Saccharomyces cerevisiae S288C: one gene and its partners. Changing the gene in region 3 together with the main gene of any one other region gives a genetic interaction. Each region holds a gene or a part of one and is shown on either strand. Other genes may lie near its edges. The genes, in order: GCN20, RTG3, GCN1 and LAT1.

Evidence for each region.
Region 1: mutations in GCN1 (region 3) and GCN20 together harm fitness less than expected from each alone (positive genetic interaction), as found in Saccharomyces cerevisiae (3 studies listed by BioGRID, with this or other methods).
Region 2: mutations in GCN1 (region 3) and RTG3 together harm fitness more than expected from each alone (negative genetic interaction), as found in Saccharomyces cerevisiae (3 studies listed by BioGRID).
Region 4: mutations in GCN1 (region 3) and LAT1 together harm fitness more than expected from each alone (negative genetic interaction), as found in Saccharomyces cerevisiae (3 studies listed by BioGRID).

Annotation. Positions count from the first base shown.
Region 1 is NC_001138.5:159,573-165,246, forward strand, and holds GCN20 (putative AAA family ATPase GCN20), read left to right. Parts: upstream 1-2,915; coding exon 2,916-5,174; downstream 5,175-5,674. Other genes in the region: YFH7 (Yfh7p), read left to right, coding at 1-788; FAR7 (Far7p), read left to right, coding at 963-1,628; ubiquitin-specific protease UBP6, read left to right, coding at 5,495-5,674. UniProt on the Saccharomyces cerevisiae protein: Acts as a positive activator of the GCN2 protein kinase activity in response to in response to low amino acid, carbon, or purine availability.
Region 2 is NC_001134.8:21,012-25,986, reverse strand, and holds RTG3 (Rtg3p), read left to right. Parts: upstream 1-2,450; coding exon 2,451-3,911; downstream 3,912-4,975. Other genes in the region: ECM21 (Ecm21p), read left to right, coding at 1-1,041; SFT2 (Sft2p), read right to left, coding at 1,242-1,889; SEA4 (Sea4p), read left to right, coding at 4,694-4,975. UniProt on the Saccharomyces cerevisiae protein: Transcription factor that regulates CIT2 gene expression. Binds to two identical sites oriented as inverted repeats 28 bp apart in a regulatory upstream activation sequence element (UASR) in the CIT2 promoter. The core binding site is 5'-GGTCAC-3'.
Region 3 is NC_001139.9:129,213-135,371, forward strand, and holds the start of GCN1 (Gcn1p), read left to right. Parts: upstream 1-2,312; coding exon 2,313-6,159. Other genes in the region: D-serine ammonia-lyase DSD1, read left to right, coding at 671-1,957. UniProt on the Saccharomyces cerevisiae protein: Ribosome collision sensor that activates a translation quality control pathway when a ribosome has stalled during translation. Directly binds to the ribosome and acts as a sentinel for colliding ribosomes.
Region 4 is NC_001146.8:489,733-493,471, reverse strand, and holds LAT1 (dihydrolipoyllysine-residue acetyltransferase), read right to left. Parts: upstream 1,950-3,739; coding exon 501-1,949; downstream 1-500. Other genes in the region: TOM7 (Tom7p), read right to left, coding at 1-106; ribonuclease H2 catalytic subunit RNH201, read right to left, coding at 2,232-3,155; lysine--tRNA ligase MSK1, read right to left, coding at 3,356-3,739. UniProt on the Saccharomyces cerevisiae protein: The pyruvate dehydrogenase complex catalyzes the overall conversion of pyruvate to acetyl-CoA and CO(2).

The DNA of each region.
Region 1 (5,674 bases), on a different chromosome or scaffold from region 3:
AAAATCAGGGGCTGTTTAAAGATCATGTTGAGGATGTTAATTTTCAACCAGTCAAGTACTCAGCCCTTACATCAAATAATGAAGAATGTACCGCAGTAGTTGCCAGAGGTGGTACTGCGAATGCCATAAGAATCGCAGCAGTTGATAATCCAGTCAATGTTAACAAGTTGGCCCAGGATAGTATCAATATAGCGCAAATAGTCCCAATGGATGGTTTTCACTTATCTCGCAGATGTCTAGACCTATTCAAAGACCCACAAACTGCCCATAAAAGAAGAGGTTCGCCCTCAACGTTTGACAGTAACAATTTCTTACAATTGTGTAAAATTCTAGCCAAGACGTCCCTATGTAAGGTCTCCTCACATCATAAATTTTACTCCACTTCAAGCGTTTTTGAGAAGTTATCCAAAACTTTTAGCCAAACAATTCCTGATATCTTTGTTCCAGGATTTAACCATGCACTAAAAGACCCAACTCCAGATCAGTACTGTATTTCCAAATTTACAAGGATAGTTATACTTGAAGGGTTATACCTACTGTATGACCAAGAAAACTGGAAGAAAATTTACAAAACATTAGCTGATACGGGAGCACTTCTTGTTTATAAGATTGACATAGACTATGAGGCCACCGAAGAAAGGGTGGCCAAAAGGCATTTGCAATCAGGGTTAGTCACGACTATTGCAGAAGGACGAGAGAAGTTTCGCAGCAATGATTTGTTGAATGGCAGGGATATAGATAATCATTTAATTAAGGTAGATAATATCGTCCATATCCGCAACGACTAGAAGGTTAGGCGGAACCTTGTATATATTTTTGTAAAATCGAACTGAATACAGATAATTAAGGCGCGCAAGCAAAAACGGCATTCTTTATGAACTCTGCAGAGGTGCCCTTTATTACGACATATATGGGAAGTAATACATATTGATTCTACAAGAAGTTCAAGCCAAGGTTTAGATATGAGTGACCAAATCAACGTTTTGTCAATGCAACAACAACAACAGCAGCAGCAGCAGCAGCAGCAAGTATATATGTCTCCTCAAGCAGAAAACTTGAATCATATGTACTTGTTAGTTAACAAGCTAGTGAAACAGTTGAGGGAAAATCAAGCAGAAAAGGCGAAAATACTAAGGAACATAGACATATTATCCGGAAGCTTAAACAAGTATGAGACATCTGAAGAACCTCACGATACCACGGAAAATATTGCATTATTTAATAGATTTCTAGAACAAAGAGGGAAAGCTCCTATTACTGAGAAAGAGCAACTAAGCAACAATCTGGATGAAAATGCGAAAGATGACGTTATGCTAGGAGTGTTGAAGCGCCAAAATTCAATGCTCCGGAAAAGTTTACAGGAATCCAAGCAGGTAACCCTTGAATCCATGGATTTATTGTCTTACTCCGAAGACTCTTTAAATTACATTGTCGCCCAATTAAGAGGAAACATTCTAATGCATCATAAAGAGACTATCAAATTGATTAGGCAGAAATTCCAGACGGAGACAATTCCCCTCGAAGATGAAGAGTTCAAGATGTATTTGGAAAATGTTAATGGTCTGCAAAAATTGACAGATATATCTCACACTTATAGATTACTACTGAGGTTACATGCACAAGATTGAAACTTTGCCCTTTTGCTTCCAATGAAAGCAAGATGACAAATATACATGCTTCTTATATTCGAGATTGCGCAAAAATTCGAAGCTCATTTATGAAGGCTTTTTCCATTCTGATATATGTTTATGAAATTGAAAAAGTAACGACGGTGGAACATTTTGCGGGAAAACAACTCACAGAATGTCTTGACGTTCTTTTCCTGCAGTTGCGTGCGTAAGATATCCTAAGCTACTGTATTATTTGCCAAAAATAATAAAATGTTGGAGGAAAGCCTCTATAAATACACAGGATATATATGTTTAATAAACATATATAATTTCCTCAATATTTGCAAAAGCATTTTGTTGTGATGAGAGTCGATTATCGTTTACCGATTAGTATCTATACTATTAATATATTTTCATATAATTAGTATAATCTCATATACGCTGCCAGAAGATAACATGAAAATTAAGAAACAATCATCAGCTTCAATGGAAGTTGAAGTGCAAGGATAAATAATACTATTTAGAAATATGGATTTTCCCTCGTTGACTAGAAGATCTGTGAAGATTGGGTGAATAGTTTAATAATTATTGGATCCCATTATTGATCAAGGCTATAATACTTGACTATTTGGCGAATTTTGAGATAATTGTTGGGATTCCATTGTTGATAAAGGCCATAATATTATGTATACAGGATATACTAGAAGTTCTCCTCGATGATATAGGAATCCTCGAAATGGAATCTATATTTCTACATACTAATATTACGATTATTCCTCATTCCGTTTTATATGTTTCATTATCCTATTGCATTATCAATCCTTGCACTTCAGCTTCCTCTAACTTCGATGACAGCTTCTCATAACTTATGTCATCATCTTTACACCGTATATGATAATATATTGATAATATAACTATTAGTTGATAGACGATAGTGGATTTTTATTCCAACACACTAATTATCATTCGTTACATCTCAAATTGGTTAGAGAAGTTACAAACATTATTATTGATTTATCCAAGGATAGTTTTCACAAGAAAACAAGCGCAAGTGGTTTAGTGGTAAAATCCAACGTTGCCATCGTTGGGCCCCCGGTTCGATTCCGGGCTTGCGCAGTTTCTTTTTTTTCTGATTTTTATTTTTTTGTTCCTGAAAATTTTTCGTATTATTAGATCTAGTAGAAAATGAAAGACATTTGAAAAGAGAAATATATATTCTGCAGTAAGCTAGCTAAGACTAGTCGTTTTGAAGCGCTAAAACGTTAACTTCGATTCATAGCACAAAAGGTAAATAACTTTTTTGAAATGGCAAGCATCGGTTCGCAAGTGAGAAAAGCTGCTTCTAGTATTGACCCTATCGTCACGGATTACGCAGTGGGCTACTTTAACCACTTGTCCGGAATAACTTTTGATGCTGTTCAAAGTAAGCAGGTAGATTTGTCCACTGAAGTGCAATTTGTGTCCGATTTATTGATTGATGCGGGTGCGTCAAAGGCTAAAGTTAAAGAACTATCGGAAAGTATTTTGAAGCAATTGACTACTCAACTAAAGGAGAACGAAGCCAAATTGGAATTGACCGGTGATACGTCCAAGAGATTACTTGATATTAATGTCTTAAAGAGTCATAACAGTAAATCCGATATCAACGTCTCATTAAGCATGCTGGGTGTGAACGGTGACATCGAACATACTGGTAGAAAGATGGAAACAAGAGTTGATTTGAAAAAACTGGCCAAGGCTGAACAAAAGATCGCAAAGAAAGTCGCCAAGAGAAATAACAAATTTGTTAAATACGAGGCTTCTAAATTGATCAATGACCAAAAGGAGGAGGATTACGATTCTTTCTTTTTGCAAATCAACCCTTTAGAATTCGGTTCATCCGCTGGTAAATCCAAGGATATCCATATTGACACTTTCGACTTGTACGTTGGTGACGGTCAAAGAATTTTGTCCAACGCCCAATTGACTCTAAGTTTTGGTCACAGATATGGTCTTGTGGGCCAAAATGGTATTGGTAAATCTACTTTGTTAAGGGCTCTATCTAGAAGAGAGCTGAACGTCCCCAAACATGTTTCGATTTTACACGTGGAACAAGAGTTAAGAGGTGATGATACAAAGGCTTTACAAAGTGTGCTGGATGCAGACGTTTGGAGAAAACAACTATTAAGTGAAGAAGCCAAGATCAATGAAAGATTAAAGGAAATGGATGTATTAAGACAGGAATTCGAAGAAGACAGTTTAGAAGTTAAAAAATTGGACAATGAAAGAGAAGACTTGGATAACCATTTGATACAGATTTCTGACAAATTAGTCGATATGGAATCTGACAAGGCTGAAGCTAGGGCAGCATCAATCTTATATGGTTTGGGGTTCAGTACGGAGGCACAGCAACAACCCACTAATTCCTTTTCCGGTGGTTGGAGAATGAGATTGTCCTTGGCAAGAGCCTTATTCTGTCAACCAGATCTTTTGTTGTTAGATGAACCTTCCAATATGTTGGATGTGCCATCCATCGCTTATTTAGCAGAGTATTTGAAAACATATCCAAATACAGTTTTGACAGTTTCTCACGACCGTGCATTCTTGAATGAAGTGGCTACAGATATCATTTATCAACACAACGAAAGACTAGACTATTACAGAGGCCAAGATTTCGATACCTTTTACACCACAAAGGAGGAACGTAGAAAGAATGCTCAACGTGAGTATGATAACCAAATGGTTTACAGAAAGCACTTGCAAGAGTTTATTGACAAATACAGATACAATGCTGCCAAATCACAGGAAGCTCAATCAAGAATTAAGAAATTGGAAAAATTGCCCGTTTTGGAGCCACCTGAACAAGACAAAACCATTGATTTCAAATTCCCTGAATGTGATAAATTGTCTCCACCAATTATCCAATTGCAAGACGTTTCCTTTGGTTATGATGAAAACAACCTATTATTGAAAGATGTTAACCTGGACGTTCAAATGGATTCCAGAATTGCCCTTGTAGGTGCCAATGGTTGTGGTAAGACTACACTGTTGAAGATTATGATGGAGCAGTTAAGACCACTAAAAGGCTTTGTATCAAGAAACCCAAGATTACGTATAGGCTACTTCACTCAACATCATGTGGATTCTATGGATTTGACCACGTCTGCAGTGGACTGGATGTCCAAATCCTTCCCAGGTAAAACTGATGAAGAGTATAGACGTCATCTAGGTTCATTTGGTATCACTGGTACCCTGGGTCTACAAAAGATGCAATTATTATCCGGTGGTCAAAAATCTCGTGTAGCATTCGCTGCATTGTGTTTAAATAATCCACACATTTTGGTTCTGGATGAACCTTCTAACCATTTGGATACCACTGGTCTAGACGCTTTGGTAGAAGCCTTGAAAAATTTCAACGGTGGTGTCTTAATGGTTTCCCATGATATCTCTGTTATTGACTCTGTTTGTAAAGAGATTTGGGTTTCAGAGCAAGGTACTGTCAAGAGGTTCGAAGGTACAATTTACGACTATAGAGATTACATCTTGCAGTCTGCTGATGCTGCAGGTGTGGTTAAAAAGCATTGATTATTTAGGAAGCACCTCAGAATATATTTTCCATAGAAGCCTAAATTAAGTATGCATTCATAGCCCCATGATACTTTTTTTTTTTGACTACTTGTATTGGAATCTAATTGACCTAACTGGGCATTCTGGGTCATTGGTATATGTATCACTTTTTACGTAAAAAAGTAGTGGCTAATATAAAACATAAAATCTACAAGAAGGGTGAAGTGCTTTTCGAATTTTGCCACTGCAAGTAATTGGTGCAATTGAAATACGAGATTTCGTTCTCTAAGAGGATATAAAAATAAGGAAATTAGCCCTACCTATCCTTGTGTTAAAATATGAGCGGAGAAACGTTTGAGTTCAATATTAGACATTCTGGTAAAGTTTACCCAATAACACTTTCCACTGATGCTACTTCAGCAGATTTGAAAAGCAAAGCAGAGGAATTGACCCAAGTCCCAAGTGCCCGCCAAAAATACATGGTTAAAGGTGGCTTGTCTGGCGAAGAGTCCATTAAA
Region 2 (4,975 bases), on a different chromosome or scaffold from region 3:
CGTCGTCCCAGTGTAATAGGCTTTTTATCCGGTCATAAAGGCTCGAAAAGTCATGAAGAAAATGAAAAACCTGTTTATGATCCAAAATTCCATCAAACAATAATCAAATCCAATTCTGGTTTGCCCGTGAAAACACATACCAGATTAAACACACCGAAAAGAGGCTTGTACTTGGATAGTTTACACTTCAGTAATGTTTACTGTAGACATAAGCTGGAAATTATGCTACGAATCAGTAAACCTGATCCTGAGTGTCCGTCCAAATTAAGACATTATGAGGTTCTAATCGATACGCCCATATTCCTGGTGTCTGAACAGTGCAACAGTGGTAATATGGAGTTACCCACTTATGATATGGCCACAATGGAAGGCAAAGGCAACCAGGTTCCTCTAAGTATGAACAGCGACTTTTTTGGTAACACATGTCCACCTCCGCCAACTTTTGAAGAAGCCATATCCGTTCCAGCTTCTCCCATTGTCTCACCGATGGGATCACCTAATATCATGGCCTCGTATGACCCTGATTTACTATCTATTCAACAATTGAACTTATCAAGAACTACGTCAGTTAGTGGGCCATCCGGATACAGCGATGATGCCGGTGTGCCAAATGTTAATCGGAACAGTATTTCAAATGCCAATGCCATGAACGGCAGTATTTCGAATTCCGCATTTGTTTCGGGCAATAGTGGCCAAGGTGTTGCTAGAGCAAGAGCAACGTCAGTGAATGACAGGTCAAGATTCAATAATCTCGATAAATTATTGAGCACTCCATCGCCCGTCAATAGATCTCACAATTCATCACCAACAAATGGCTTATCACAAGCAAATGGTACTGTGAGGATTCCAAACGCTACCACTGAAAACTCTAAGGACAAACAGAACGAATTTTTCAAAAAGGGTTACACTTTAGCGAATGTAAAAGATGATGAAGAACAAGAAGGAATAGTAAGTTCGAGCTCCGCAGATTCGCTACTCTCTCATGGTAACGAGCCTCCGCGTTATGACGAAATAGTGCCTTTGATGAGTGATGAAGAATGAATTTTTTCGTTTTTTATTTTTTTTTGAATTATTCTACGATAATTATATATATAGAGCCACTGCATGTTTTACTCCCTTTTTGTTGACTACATGCTATTTAATTAGGTTAGGTTATAAATCTCTTTATTATTGTTTCTTATAACATAAACATTATTTTTCTTCTTCAACTAATCAATTCAATATGCACTATGAATGATAATTCAGATGCGCAGAACACCTCTTGCCGAATTGACACCAGCAGAGCTTAACATCCTCAAACCTGTTGCACCGAATGGGAAATATGAAATAGCATAATAAATGACGGCAACTAATTCAAGAAGAGCACATGTAATAGTCAGCACCGTGTTCTTGGAAAAGGCTGCGAAATAAATCGTCATGAAGCATGTGGCGAAAAAGAACATCGAAAAAGGCAGCCTTTCCCTTGCAGTCAAATGTTTTAAGTACGCGAGTGGTCCCATAAGTACCCCAAACGCAAGAACAAATAGTAGGGACCCCATTGTCCATAGTAAACCAAACTTTCTTGGTTTAGCGGCTAGAACGGGGAAAAGGAAAGTACAAAGAGTGAAACAGGCTGTTGCACCCAAAAGAAAACAGACAAAAAGTACCATTCTTTCCGTTCTTGACAATTGGAACCACGACGGCTCCTGGTCTTGCACCAAGTCCTGTCTAGATACAGGCAACGTCTGATATATATCCTGGGCCCTGGTATTGAGAGAATCCGCCCAGCTTGAGAACAATGTCTTCGCAGATTCATTAAAACCCTGCGAGTTCTGCTGTCTTGTTTGATTCCATCGATTCAATGAGTCACGGAGACTATTGACCTGGTCAGAAGGTGGTTCCTCGCTCATATTCTCCACACTTGTTCTTTTTTTTTACCAGCAAAAAAAAAAAACGCAACTGCAGACAATACAGGTAATCTAAGTCCTACTCTAAACTACCGAACGCAATTAGAATGCAAATTTATTCAATCTTCTTCCTATTTCAGTATAGTACAAGTCTTGACCAATACTCCCTCTTCATTACAATCGCCTTTTGCCGGGTCACGATTGCGGGCCGTTCCGCGGGATGTGACTCTTCGCAAGTTACTTTTGAAATAATAAAGCCATGGTGATTAGAAAAGCCTTCTTATGAGCAACAGAAACTAACAATTGTACTACTCGGTCCGGACAGTAGGATCTCCAATATTACTGCAGGTTAGTACATTATTTTTTACTCGCAGTTGCTATTTTGGCTAGAGGCTGCACGGAATCATCAAGGAATTTTTCACAATCCGAATTTCTGTCTTACGTGAGCATATATAAGATAACAAAAACGACATTACTGCATTCACATTACTTAGTTGACAAGTATCCTTTAATAGAATACTCTTATTTTTTGTCAGGCGAACCTACTTCTTAAATAAGTGAAGAATGATGAACAATAACGAAAGTGAGGCTGAGAACCAACGTCTACTGGACGAATTAATGAACCAGACAAAAGTCCTCCAGGAAACTTTAGATTTTTCGTTAGTGACACCCACTCCACACCACAATGATGATTACAAGATACACGGAAGTGCCTACCCAGGTGGTGAGACTCCTGCCCAACAGCATGAAAAACTCTCATACATCAATACGCACAACTCTAACGATAATAATAACTTAATGGGCAGTCAAGCGAGGTCCAATTCACAAACTCCTACAGCTTCGACCATATATGAGGAAGCAGAATCGCAATCGTCTTACCTGGATGATATGTTTAGAACAAGCCAAGGCGGTAGACCTGTCACTCAAAATTCCATATCTTCCATAGGGCAGGGTCCCTTGAGATCATCTTATTCTATGGCTTACGACTCACCTGTGGATAGAGCAATGAATACTCCATTACAGCAACAAGAAGGCTTAAAAGCTGAGTTACCACATGACTTTTTATTTCAGCATGGCACCGATGACACAATGTATAACTTAACTGATGATTTGAGCTCCTCTTTATCTTCTAGCATCAATTCTGATATGATGACACCAAACACATATTCATCATCATTTTCTTATAATCCACAAAGCTTGGGCCCAGCATCCGTATCTTCCACATATTCCCCAAAGGTAAGATCACCATCATCGTCATTTCGTGCAGGAAGTTTCCTTTCATCTTCTTTTAGGCATGGTAGCATAAACACACCCAGAACAAGACACACTTCAATAAGTAGCAATATGACTGAAAATATAGGACCTGGAAGTGTTCCAAAGATTTTAGGCGGGTTAACTTCTGATGAGAAACTGAGGCGCAAAAGAGAGTTTCATAATGCCGTCGAAAGGAGAAGAAGAGAATTAATAAAGCAAAAGATAAAAGAACTCGGCCAGTTGGTTCCACCATCTTTATTGAATTACGATGACCTAGGTAAACAAATCAAACCAAATAAGGGTATCATTTTGGATAGAACGGTCGAATATTTACAATACCTGGCCGAAATTTTAGAAATACAAGCACGAAAAAAGAAGGCGTTATTGGCGAAGATAAAAGAATTGGAAGAGAAGAAAAGTTCTGTCGCAGCATTATCTCCTTTTACCAATAACCACCATGCCAGTTCGGGGCAAAATAATAGCGAGAATAGTGAGGAAAGAATTATAGATATTAGATCTGTCCCAAATGCTTTGATGAATGAACAAAATAGTAAGGCTGAATTGCACAATTGGGAGCCACCGTTATATGATTCGGTCGGTAACCACAATCATGCTGGCACTATGGAGAGTCATCCACATACAAACATTCATGAAGAATTAAAGGAGTTCTTATCAGGCGATTTGATTGAAGCCGAAGATAATGCAAAATTAATGTTTGGAGATGACAACTCTAATCCAGCTGACTATCTTTTAGAATTTGGTTCGGGGTAGTTTATGGTCTTATTAGCGGGAAAAAATTAAATTTGAAAAAGGTCAGGTAAGCAAAAGCAGTAAAACTTCAATATCTATGTTTGTTCCTTCTATTGGGAGAACGTTAATCGCTTCCGTACTCGCAAGATAATGTAATGAAAAAATTAGGAATTGCAACAAAATAAAGCGGAATATTAGTAACGCTTACATGCAACGTTTTGAAAAGAGTGGAAGAGATAGGCAAGCAGAATTATATGTAACAAAATCTAAAATTATTCACTATTATTCTTGGTTATGTCTAATACTTTGGATATATTAATTCTTTAGAATTTTATGTATTCTAAATGCAATTATGTCAATAAAACCCATGTAATTTTCTTTCATGATATGATTTAAATGCATTAGTATTATCAGGCATATTGTTATATATGAAGAAGGTTAGTTATAAGTAGTGTATAATATATACATGTGCTGCCCGCAATTGGGTATGATATGATTTTTAGTGCTTTATAATTTGGCGTCGCAAGAATGTAGATCACTTGTATCAATGGAAAGCTTACTTGGGTAACTCATTTATTGAGAAAATCAATGGATGTCGAATTTATATAGAGTAGAGCCAACACTTCATGATTGGAAAGCATATACCAAACGGTATACCACTGATAATATGAATGCAGAAGACTAATGCGCTACACATCATACTTTACGGCGATGATATATTTCAAGATAGCATAAGCTCTATGGTTATTCTGATGTTACTGGTAGTCGTAAGTGCAGTATCACGAACGTATAGAAGAATAAACATGGGTCTCATCAAAAAAGTGACCCATTGGTCATATGATAATTTGATTGATTATCTTTCAGTGAACCCTACAAGAGATGAAGTGACCCACTATAAAGTGGATCCGGAAAATGAATCTGATGAATCAATTATTAAATTACACACTGTGAAAGACTTCGGCAGTATCACCTGCTTAGACTATTCAGAATCAGAAATTGGTATGATTGGAGTTGGTGAAAAGAATGGATATTTAAGGATTTTTAATATCTCTGGACAAAATTCCTCATCGCCAGCGAGCCATGCG
Region 3 (6,159 bases):
AAGAATATGCTGCTATACATCTCAAAACGGATTGCTTCCATATGGGCGCCACTTTTCTGTTTCTTTGCTATCAAAACAGTTGGCACCAAAAAGCTACTCATTGCAAAGGTTTATTGCTTATGAAATATTGCTTTGTGAACAGATTCAACCGAAATTACCCGGTGAATATGACTATGTAAGTTATTAGTATAGGTTGCATTTGCTGTATTCGTTGATAAGACAACATCTTGTATCATACTAGTTTCCGCACACTAGTATTTCGTCTACTATTGACTTTCTGATAAGGTTATCTGGTTCCTGTATTTGCAGTTTATCGAAGCGGGCAGACCAGGTCAGCTCAGGACAATTCAAATTCAGATAATGAGGCACAGACTAATCATAACACGAAAATTGAATACATCCCACGATATAGCATAACCAAATGTCGGAACATAACTAGCAATACAATTTTTACATCGGGCCGAATCCGTCGGAGAGTGATAAGACGGAGTTAAAATATCTCTCAAAACCATGGAACAACAATATGTGTACATATATAAAGCTTTTGAGTGAAAAGATTTCTTTCCACTATTTACTGTCAATTTTATTCAACACGAAAGGGAATTAAGTGCACATAAATACTTCATTTCTTGATAAGGAAGTATAATATTGCTCCTAAGAAGAGTTTGAAATGAGCGATGTTCTATCTCAATATAAAGGGTGCTCAGTCAGAGATTTACCCACACCCAATTTCGTTATTAATGAAGAAAAATTTGATAAGAATTGTACGACAATGTTGAACAACGTTGAAAAGCTCAGCCAGGAATGTGGCGTACCAATCAAATTTCGTGCACACGTAAAAACGCATAAGACAGCAAAGGGAACTTTGAAACAATTGGGCCACGGACTTCCATTGGCTAAACGCACTACAAGAGCCATATTAGTATCAACTTTGAAAGAAGCAGAAGAACTTCTTAATTATCAAGATAGACAATGTTCGGATTATATTGACGATATAACATATAGTTTACCCTGTTGCGTTCCAGAGTTTATTCCTCTTTTGAGCAATTTGTCAAGAAGGGTGAATAATTTTCAGGTTTTTGTTGATAACATTGAACACTTGGAGAATTTAAAGAATTTCGGTAGGCCTGCTTCCGGCAAGAAATGGTCGGTTTTTATCAAGGTTGATATGGGGACTAAGAGGGCAGGTCTTGCTTTCGACTCTCCAGAATTTTTGAGTCTTTTAAAAAAACTGACTTCCTCAGAAATTAAAGAAGTAATTGAGCCATATGGGTTTTATGCTCATGCCGGACACAGCTACTCTTCAACCTCGATCAACGACACTCAGAATCTTTTGATGGAAGAAGTGAAAGCAGTCAATTCTGCCGCTAAAGTTTTGTGCTCTGTGGATCCTCAGTTTGATCCTTCTAAATTAACACTTTCTGTGGGCGCTACTCCGACTTCCAATTCTTTGAAACTCGATAATAAAAGTACCCTTGTTAAATTCATTACTACTCAATTAGTTAGTACGCTTGAAATCCACTGCGGTAATTACTGCATGTATGACCTGCAACAGGTGGCAACAGGCTGTGTCCAAGATCACGAATTGTCTGGTTTTGTATTAGGAACAGTACTATCATCTTACCCTTCTAGAGGTGAATTGTTGAGTAATACAGGTGTAATGTGTCTAACGCGAGAAGCATCCTCAATAAAAGGGTTTGGAATATGTGCTGATTTGGAACATGTGTTAAAATCCGAGAGTTTCAGTAGGGAATGGTATGTAGCAAGGGTCTCTCAAGAACACGGGATACTGAGGCCAATAAGAAACTGGAACGAAACTACTCCATTAAAATTAGGCAGCAAAATTGCCGTCCTTCCTCAACACGCTTGTATCACAATGGGACAATTTCCATATTATTTCGTGGTAAACAGCGAAGGCATTGTCAACGATGTTTGGTTACCTTTTCAGAAATGGTAAGCTCTCTTTTGTCGTTGGTTATCACTCTCATCAAAGCATCTCTGTGTCTATGTAATTGTGTATCTATTTATAAATAGTAACTAAGAGTAAGGTTGTACACAGGTTGGTCTAAACACCCTCTTGTTAAGCTTCCGCATTACCTGCGAGCTGGTAATTGTAATACAGATTTATTTGTTGATATAATGCTATGAAATTTCAACTACCGTCATTGAGCTTCTCAATAAAGTCGTTACGTACGAATGAAAAATTTGAATAATTTAAACCTTCGAAAAGATCTTTGAGTTGTACTTATTAAACCTGAAGTAGATCATTAAGACAAACAAAGCTCTGACTGACACCAATAACTCCTACAGTGATGACAGCTATCTTAAACTGGGAAGATATATCCCCTGTTTTAGAGAAAGGCACCCGCGAATCACACGTGTCTAAAAGAGTTCCCTTTTTGCAAGATATATCACAATTAGTTCGTCAAGAAACATTGGAAAAACCTCAATTATCTGAAATTGCTTTCGTTTTATTGAATACCTTCACGATTTACGAAGACAATAGGTCTAAAAGTTTGGTAACTTCAATATTGCTTGACATCTTAAATCTAGAGCCATGTCTCCTAGAAAACTTTATCCGATTCATTTCCGACGTGGTCATCAGTAATCCGGCTACCAAAGCAGTCGCTGATTACCTTAATTTGTTAGATTGGATTAATTCTTTCTTGATTTTTGTGTCGCATAATTCTAATTTATTTGAAGAGTACATTCCAAAATTGTTGGTCGCCCATTCTTATGCAACGTTCGGTGTGGAAACTATTCTTGACAATCAAGAAGAAGGCAAGAAATCCCAAGATAAGCAGAACCAGCATAGAAAGAGAATTCGTTATTGCATTTTCCAAACAACGGTCAAAGCATTCCTTAAGTGCTTGAAGGATAATGACGACAGTATTTCCTTCATGAAGATTTCAATTAAAACTGTACTGGAGAGCTACTCTAAGCTGAAGATAACCAGTGTTGGAGTAGTTATGATAATGGGTGCACTAACTCAGGCTGCACTTCAGTTATTATCGAGGCAACCAGCTCTGCACTCCGTTTTAAAGGAAAATTCTGCAGAGAAATATTGCGAATATTTGGGCAAAGAAGTGTTTTTAGGCAAAAACCCACCATCTTCCTTTTGCTTAGAGATTGGTTTGAAGCCATTTTTAAAAGAATTTGTTTCACAAGAGTTATTCATTAAGTTTTTCATCCCTAATATTGAAAAAGCAGTTTTAAGATCTCCTGAGGTTGGTTTTTCGATTTTATCTGAGTTATATGCTGGTGTTTCTCCTGAAAAAGTAAATCTCTTAAATGCCTTTGCTTCCTCGAAACTGATTAATCAATACTTCTCGTCATTTAAAAGCTCAAAAGAGGTAGTTAGATCCGTCTCGCTTCAGTCTATGATAATCTTATTGAGAAAAATTTCCAATACTGACACTACCTTGGAAGATTTGACCAAGCTTATTGACGAAATATTTAAGAACATCAAATCGAACTTAAATGCAGATTACAAATCACTTATTTCCAAAATTCTCATAGAAATACCCTTAACGCACTATGAGGTTTCAGAAAAAATCTGCAAAGGGCTGTCCCCATATATTGGTAAAGAAGGTAATGAAGCAGCCTTGACTCTAATGCTTAACGCTTTTTTTGTTCATTATTTTAGTCTGGGCAAACCTATTGAAGACTTGGATAAAATTATATCAGCTGGTTTTGCAGATAAAAAACCTGCTTTGAAAAAATGCTGGTTTGCCGCATTTTTGAACAATTCCAATGCTGCCTCTGAAGAGGTGATTTTAAACTTTATAGACGGTTGTTTGGAATTTGTGAAAGACTCCATCATACATTATCAGACTCACGGGCATGCATGTATTCTAGCATCAATTGAATTTACAAACAAAATTTTGGCATTGGACAATACTGAGCTAAATGATCGTGTTATGCAGCTCATAGAAACCCTTCCTGAAAATTCTTCGATAGGTGATGCTATCTTAACTGCTGCATTATCAACAGAGCTATCCATCGAAAACCGTATTCATGCTGTTAATTTACTACAAGAATTGTTCTACAAGAAACCCGAATTTATTGGGTTTAGCGTGATTGATGCAATTGAAAGGAGAATGCGTGTCCAAGAATTAATACCTCAACAAAATACATCCTTTAAATATGTCACTTCTGTACTACTGGCCATTACGTCTGAGTTACCTGACAAGGAAGCCTCGATAAAGGTATTAATCAATGCTCTGGTCATAGCGCAATGGAATATTTTCAACATTAAGAATGGCTGGGCTGGTTTAGTTTTACGTGCAAGGCTTGATCCAGCTGAAGTTGTCAAAGAACATGCTAGCGTTATCATGGAGAAGATTCTTGAAATCACAGGTAGTTGTGAATGGATAGATACAATTTATGGTGCATGCGGTTTGCAAGCAGCTGCCTATGCAGCATTTATTCAGCCTAATGAGTTCACACCGATCCTTTGTAAGACTATCGAAGCAGATTTAACCGCGGATGATTTCTCACGTTTATCTGAAGAGGACTTCGAAATTTTTGCAGGAGAGGAAGGTGTTCTGGTGGTTGACGTCCTGGAAGAAAGCATGAATAAGAAACTTTCCAATAAAAATTCTAAAGAGTACGAAACTCTAATGTGGGAACAAAAAATAAGGAAGGAGCAAGCCAAAAAGAATGTGAAAAAACTTTCAAAAGAGGAACAAGAGCTCGTTAATGAACAGTTAGCGAAAGAATCTGCAGTTAGATCACACGTTTCGGAAATTTCCACTCGTTTAAAGCGTGGTATTAGATTGGTATCTGAACTTTCCAAAGCTGCTTGCTTAGTCCAAAATGGCATCGCTACTTGGTTCCCCTTGGCAGTCACAAAGCTTTTGTACCTATGCTCGGAACCAAATATTTCAAAGCTAACAGAGGATGTAAATAATGTGTTCTTGCAGCTTTCTCAAAATGTCTCCGAGAGATTAGGTAATATCAGACTTTTCTTAGGTTTGGCGACTTTGCGTGTGCACAATGCTAATGGCATCTCGCAAGATTATTTACAAGAACCACTGGTTGAATTACTTACAAGAGTTCTTTTTAGGATCAAGTTCGTCTCCAACCAAGCAGCAATAGATTCCATCAGTTTGACATATATTTTACCATTGTTGATTAATGTTTTAGAAAAGGGTAAGGCGATTGCATTAAAGAATGCGGACAAGCCTGTTGTTAAGGCTGAGTTTGTTGAAGAAGATGAAGAAGAAGAACATCTGTTACTGGCCATGGAAATTATTTCTGTACACGCTGAAGCTTTTGAGGATCCTTCCATTCCGAGAATTTCCATTGTTGAAGTGTTACTATCTCTTCTATCTTTACCCTCAAAAGCGAAGATTGCTAAAGATTGTTTCAACGCTCTGTGCCAAAGCATATCTGTTGCACCAAATCAAGAAGACCTTGATATGATACTATCAAATTTACTATCACCAAATCAATTTGTCCGTTCAACAATATTAGAAACTCTTGATAACGAATTCGAATTAGAACCTTTTATGAAATATTCACCTGAAGTTTTCATTTGCAGATTTGATTCGGATCCTTCCAACCGCGAGATTGCAGATTTCATTTGGGAGTTCAACAAATTTGTAGTCAACGATGAATTACTAAAAAGCTTATTCCCACTATTCAATCAGGATGATAGTGGCTTGAGATTATTTGCGGCAAACGCGTACGCATTTGGTGCGGTAAGTCTGTTTACCTCTGAAGAGAACTCCTCGAAAGATTACTTAAATGATTTGCTGAACTTTTATAAAGAAAAGGCAAAGCCATTGGAGCCAATTCTTGATCAATTTGGCTTGGTTCTTGTTTCTGCGAGTGAACAAAAAGATCCATGGCAAGGAAGAAGTACCGTTGCTATTACATTAAAAATCATGGCTAAGGCTTTTTCTGCAGAGGATGATACTGTCGTTAACATTATAAAATTTTTGGTCGATGATGGAGGTCTAGTAGACAGAGAGCCTATTGTTCGTCAAGAAATGAAAGAAGCTGGTGTTGAATTAATTACGTTACATGGCTCACAAAACTCGAAGGATTTAATTCCTATATTTGAAGAAGCATTAAGCTCCAGTACGGACAGTGCCTTAAAAGAGAACGTTATTATTTTGTATGGTACATTAGCAAGACATTTACAGCAAAGTG
Region 4 (3,739 bases), on a different chromosome or scaffold from region 3:
CAAATGGGATCCAGCCATAATGTGCTACATTATGAGTCAAAGTTAAAATTTTGGAAATACGTTCTTTAGATTCATCGCTTAAGATAAAAGATGGTAGGAAACTCATGGTTTATTTGTTAAAAGCTAATTTTGGCAAATATTGAGAGATAAGAGGGAACTAGTTTCTTTCACCGAACAATAATATACGAAAGTAGTATGCTAAACTTTATGCGTTATATCCTATATCCCACTCCTTTGTTAATTTCAACCAATTCCACATGAGGTGAAAAAACAAAGATGTTGACGCACCGTTTGACGTGATTTATTTATATCATTTTGAGACAGAAGAGAGAGAGGATTTAGATTCGAAGACAAGCGAAGTATTTCAGTATAATGTATACGTATTTGAGTATTTGAGTATTTTTTTTTTTTTTTTTTTAATTTTTTATATATACAAAATAACAAATTGATATTTTCTCCAAGATACGCATTTACTGGCGAATTTTATTTTCATTCTAACCTCACAATAGCATTTCCAAAGGATTTTCAATAACAGTTTTCAATTCCTTCATGAATTCTGCACCTTTGGCGCCATCAATGGTTCTATGATCAAAGGTCCCTGTTATGGTAACCTGGTTATCAAAGGAGAATCCGTTCTCAGCAGCGGCGTCTTCCACAGCGACCCTTTCAACAGTAGCGATGGCCAAGATTGTAGACTGTGGTGGGTTGATAATCGAAGTAAACATGTTAACAGCATTATTCATGCCCATATTGGATATGCAAATGGTCCCACCTTGGAATTCCTCTGGTGCCAATTTGTTTATTCTGGCACGCTTGACTAGTTCCTTGATTTCGTTAGAGATTTGCGACAAGCCCTTGGCCTCACAATTCTTGACAATTGGTGTCAATAATCCTGTTGGTGTGGCAACAGCGACTGAGACATCGACATTCTTGAATTTACGGATAACGTTCTCATTAGGTAACCAGTAGGCATTGGCATCTGGCACCCTCTTAGCCGCAACAGTGATGGCTTTTACTAATAGGTCATTAATGGACAGTTTGTACTTGTCGTTTGCTGTAGCGTTCAAGGACTGTCTCAATTTCAAAAGTTTGGAGATGGATATCTTGGAGGAAACGATGTATGATGGAATGCCTTGAGTAGATTGCAATAAACGTTCTCCAATGATGCTTCTCATGGTTGAAATTGGAACATCCTCATATGATGCTGTAGAAGAAGGCGATGGAGCAGAGCCAGCAGTAGTGCTTGAGGTAGCGGCGGCAGGAGTGGCGGCGGCAGCACCACTGGTTTGAGAAGACTGCTTAGACGACTTTTCTAGATATGACTCAATGTCAGCCTTGGTAATTCTACCGCGGGGTCCAGTGCCGTGAACATCCTTCAAAGAAATACCCTTTTCCAAGGCGATAGTCTTGGCAAGTGGAGAGGCAAAAATCCTACCTTGAGGAGCAGCAACGTCAGATTTCTTAGCTTCAGGTGCAGAAGTCTTGGTCTCTTCAGCTGGCGCTTCTTGTTTCTTTTCTGCCTGTGGTTCGGCAGGCTGAGCCTTCGTACTGGTCTTTGAATCAGAACCTGAATCCTCCAGCTTAAAGTCCTTAAAAGCTGGCACATCAGCTTTGTCCTCCACATAGACGGCAATAGGCTTGTTGACAGGAATGTCCTTTGTACCTTCAGGAACTAGAATCTTGGCTAAGTAACCATCTTCTTGGAACTCAAAGTCCATTTGAGCCTTGTCTGTTTCTATTTCGGCAATAACTTCACCGGGAGACAATTGGTCACCTTCCTTCTTAGTCCAAGCAGCAAGATTACCTTGCGTCATCGTAGGAGACAGTGCCGGCATACCAATAATGGTGTGCTCTGGGTACGATGCGTAGCATCTCAATTGCAGTCTCAATGATCTGGTGAGTACTGAACTTCTGGATATTCTTGGAACCACCCTGACAAAGGCAGACATAGTACGCTAATAACTATTAATTTTACTGGATGCAGTTTACAGCAATGGAAGATGTTGAGCGTGAACAAACAGGAAACGTAACAGCCTCTCTTCTAGTCGTTCCGGTTGGTTGTCTCGACCTCTTGTTGTTCTTTGCGTAACACGGGGGGTGAGAAGGGCCGGTCACGCTTCACGGATAGTAGAAACGGCAAAGCATAGTAGCAGATGACTTGTATGAGTTATTGAAGTTATGACATATGTAGTATTACATGAAGATATATAGTATGTGCAAACTGGAGGTGATCACCGGTACCAATTATCTAGGGTTCTCAGCCTCTTCCTTCTAACAGGCTTAGCGACCATCTGGAGCTGCAATTGCTTGGTTTTTTGTGCGGCGTTCTTCCTGCTGTCCATATATTGTTCTTCCCACTTGATAGGGATACTATTCTTACTGGCGTCATCTAACAGAGTCTGGCATGTCTGCCATGAGAATCTTACCATGTTGGCGGGCCAGCCCATAAGACTTGTCTGGTTGCGCTTCAGCCATGCGACTGTCTTCGGGTCGGAGGGGTATCCAGAACCCAGGATCTCATCGGGATCCCTCTTCAAGGATTCGACTAGTATATCTCTGGTCACTTTTGCAACGACACTCGCCACACTGACCATGCAGTAGAGCGAGTCTGCCTTCTTGGCGACCGTAAACTTGACACCAGGAAATCGTTGCTCCAGTTTCTTCTGATAGGACGCTGGTGGTCCAACAGTATCCACATACACGTGACTGAGCTTCACGTTCTGCTTTATCACGCCATCAATGAGTGCCATTGTGACATCGTGCGCCTGCTCATTCAAGTTATAGTTTCTCGTCGGTGGGAACTTGCTCATTCCTCTAGAGATATCCAACGGAGTGATGCACGTAGTTGCGTAGCCGATCTGGGTTAGTTCTTCGTTGTCCTGGTATATCTTGGAAAACAGCATTCTTCTGATGGGATCTGTAAGTTTTTTAGAGTCGTCAAACTCGTAGTTAGGGATTATAGTTTCGTCCTGATATTTCTGTGTAGAATAGGCTACTGCGTAGACCATTGGCCCTAATACGGGCCCTCTGCCAGCTTCATCGATACCCATTATTATTGGAGAGTCATTCTGTTCCAAGAGCGCGCTTGGGACAGGTGAAAAGTACGACTTAGTGTAAGGAGACTCCAAGGATGCTTCTACCGTGGGGGGTACCATTTAATCGTATCAATTTGGTGTGCAGTAGTTGTTTTCAAGGTTTTTCGACACTCTCATTAGCTATAACTGAATATTTATATTGGATTTTTCGCGTAGCGTAGTTTATTGGTGTAGAGAAAAAAAAAAAATTAAATGCCATTCTAATTATTTACAGTATATGTCTGATTTATTTACAAAAGCATTGGCAGGCGTCGCAAAATTTACTGCCTGTTTACATCATCCACACAGCCAAAGGGCAGAACCTCTTCTATCCTCTTCTTGTCGCAAAATAGCATGCACAATCTATCTATGCCAAGGCCAAAGCCACCTACTGGAGGCATACCGTATTTCATCGTCTCAACATACTGGTAGTCAATAACAGGCGATAAGGTCTCAGTTTTGTTTCCTGTCAATTCGTTAATCTGCTTTTGTTGTAGAAACTTCTGCAGTTGTAATTGGGGGCAATTTTCCTCTTCGTAAGCATTGATGTATTCCTTACCTTTGATGAAGACTTCGAATCTCTTCGTGACTTGCTTATTTTGCGGATCCGTCTTGGCTAAGGGCGATAATATTGCAGGTTGATGGTATATTACCGTAGGCAAGGT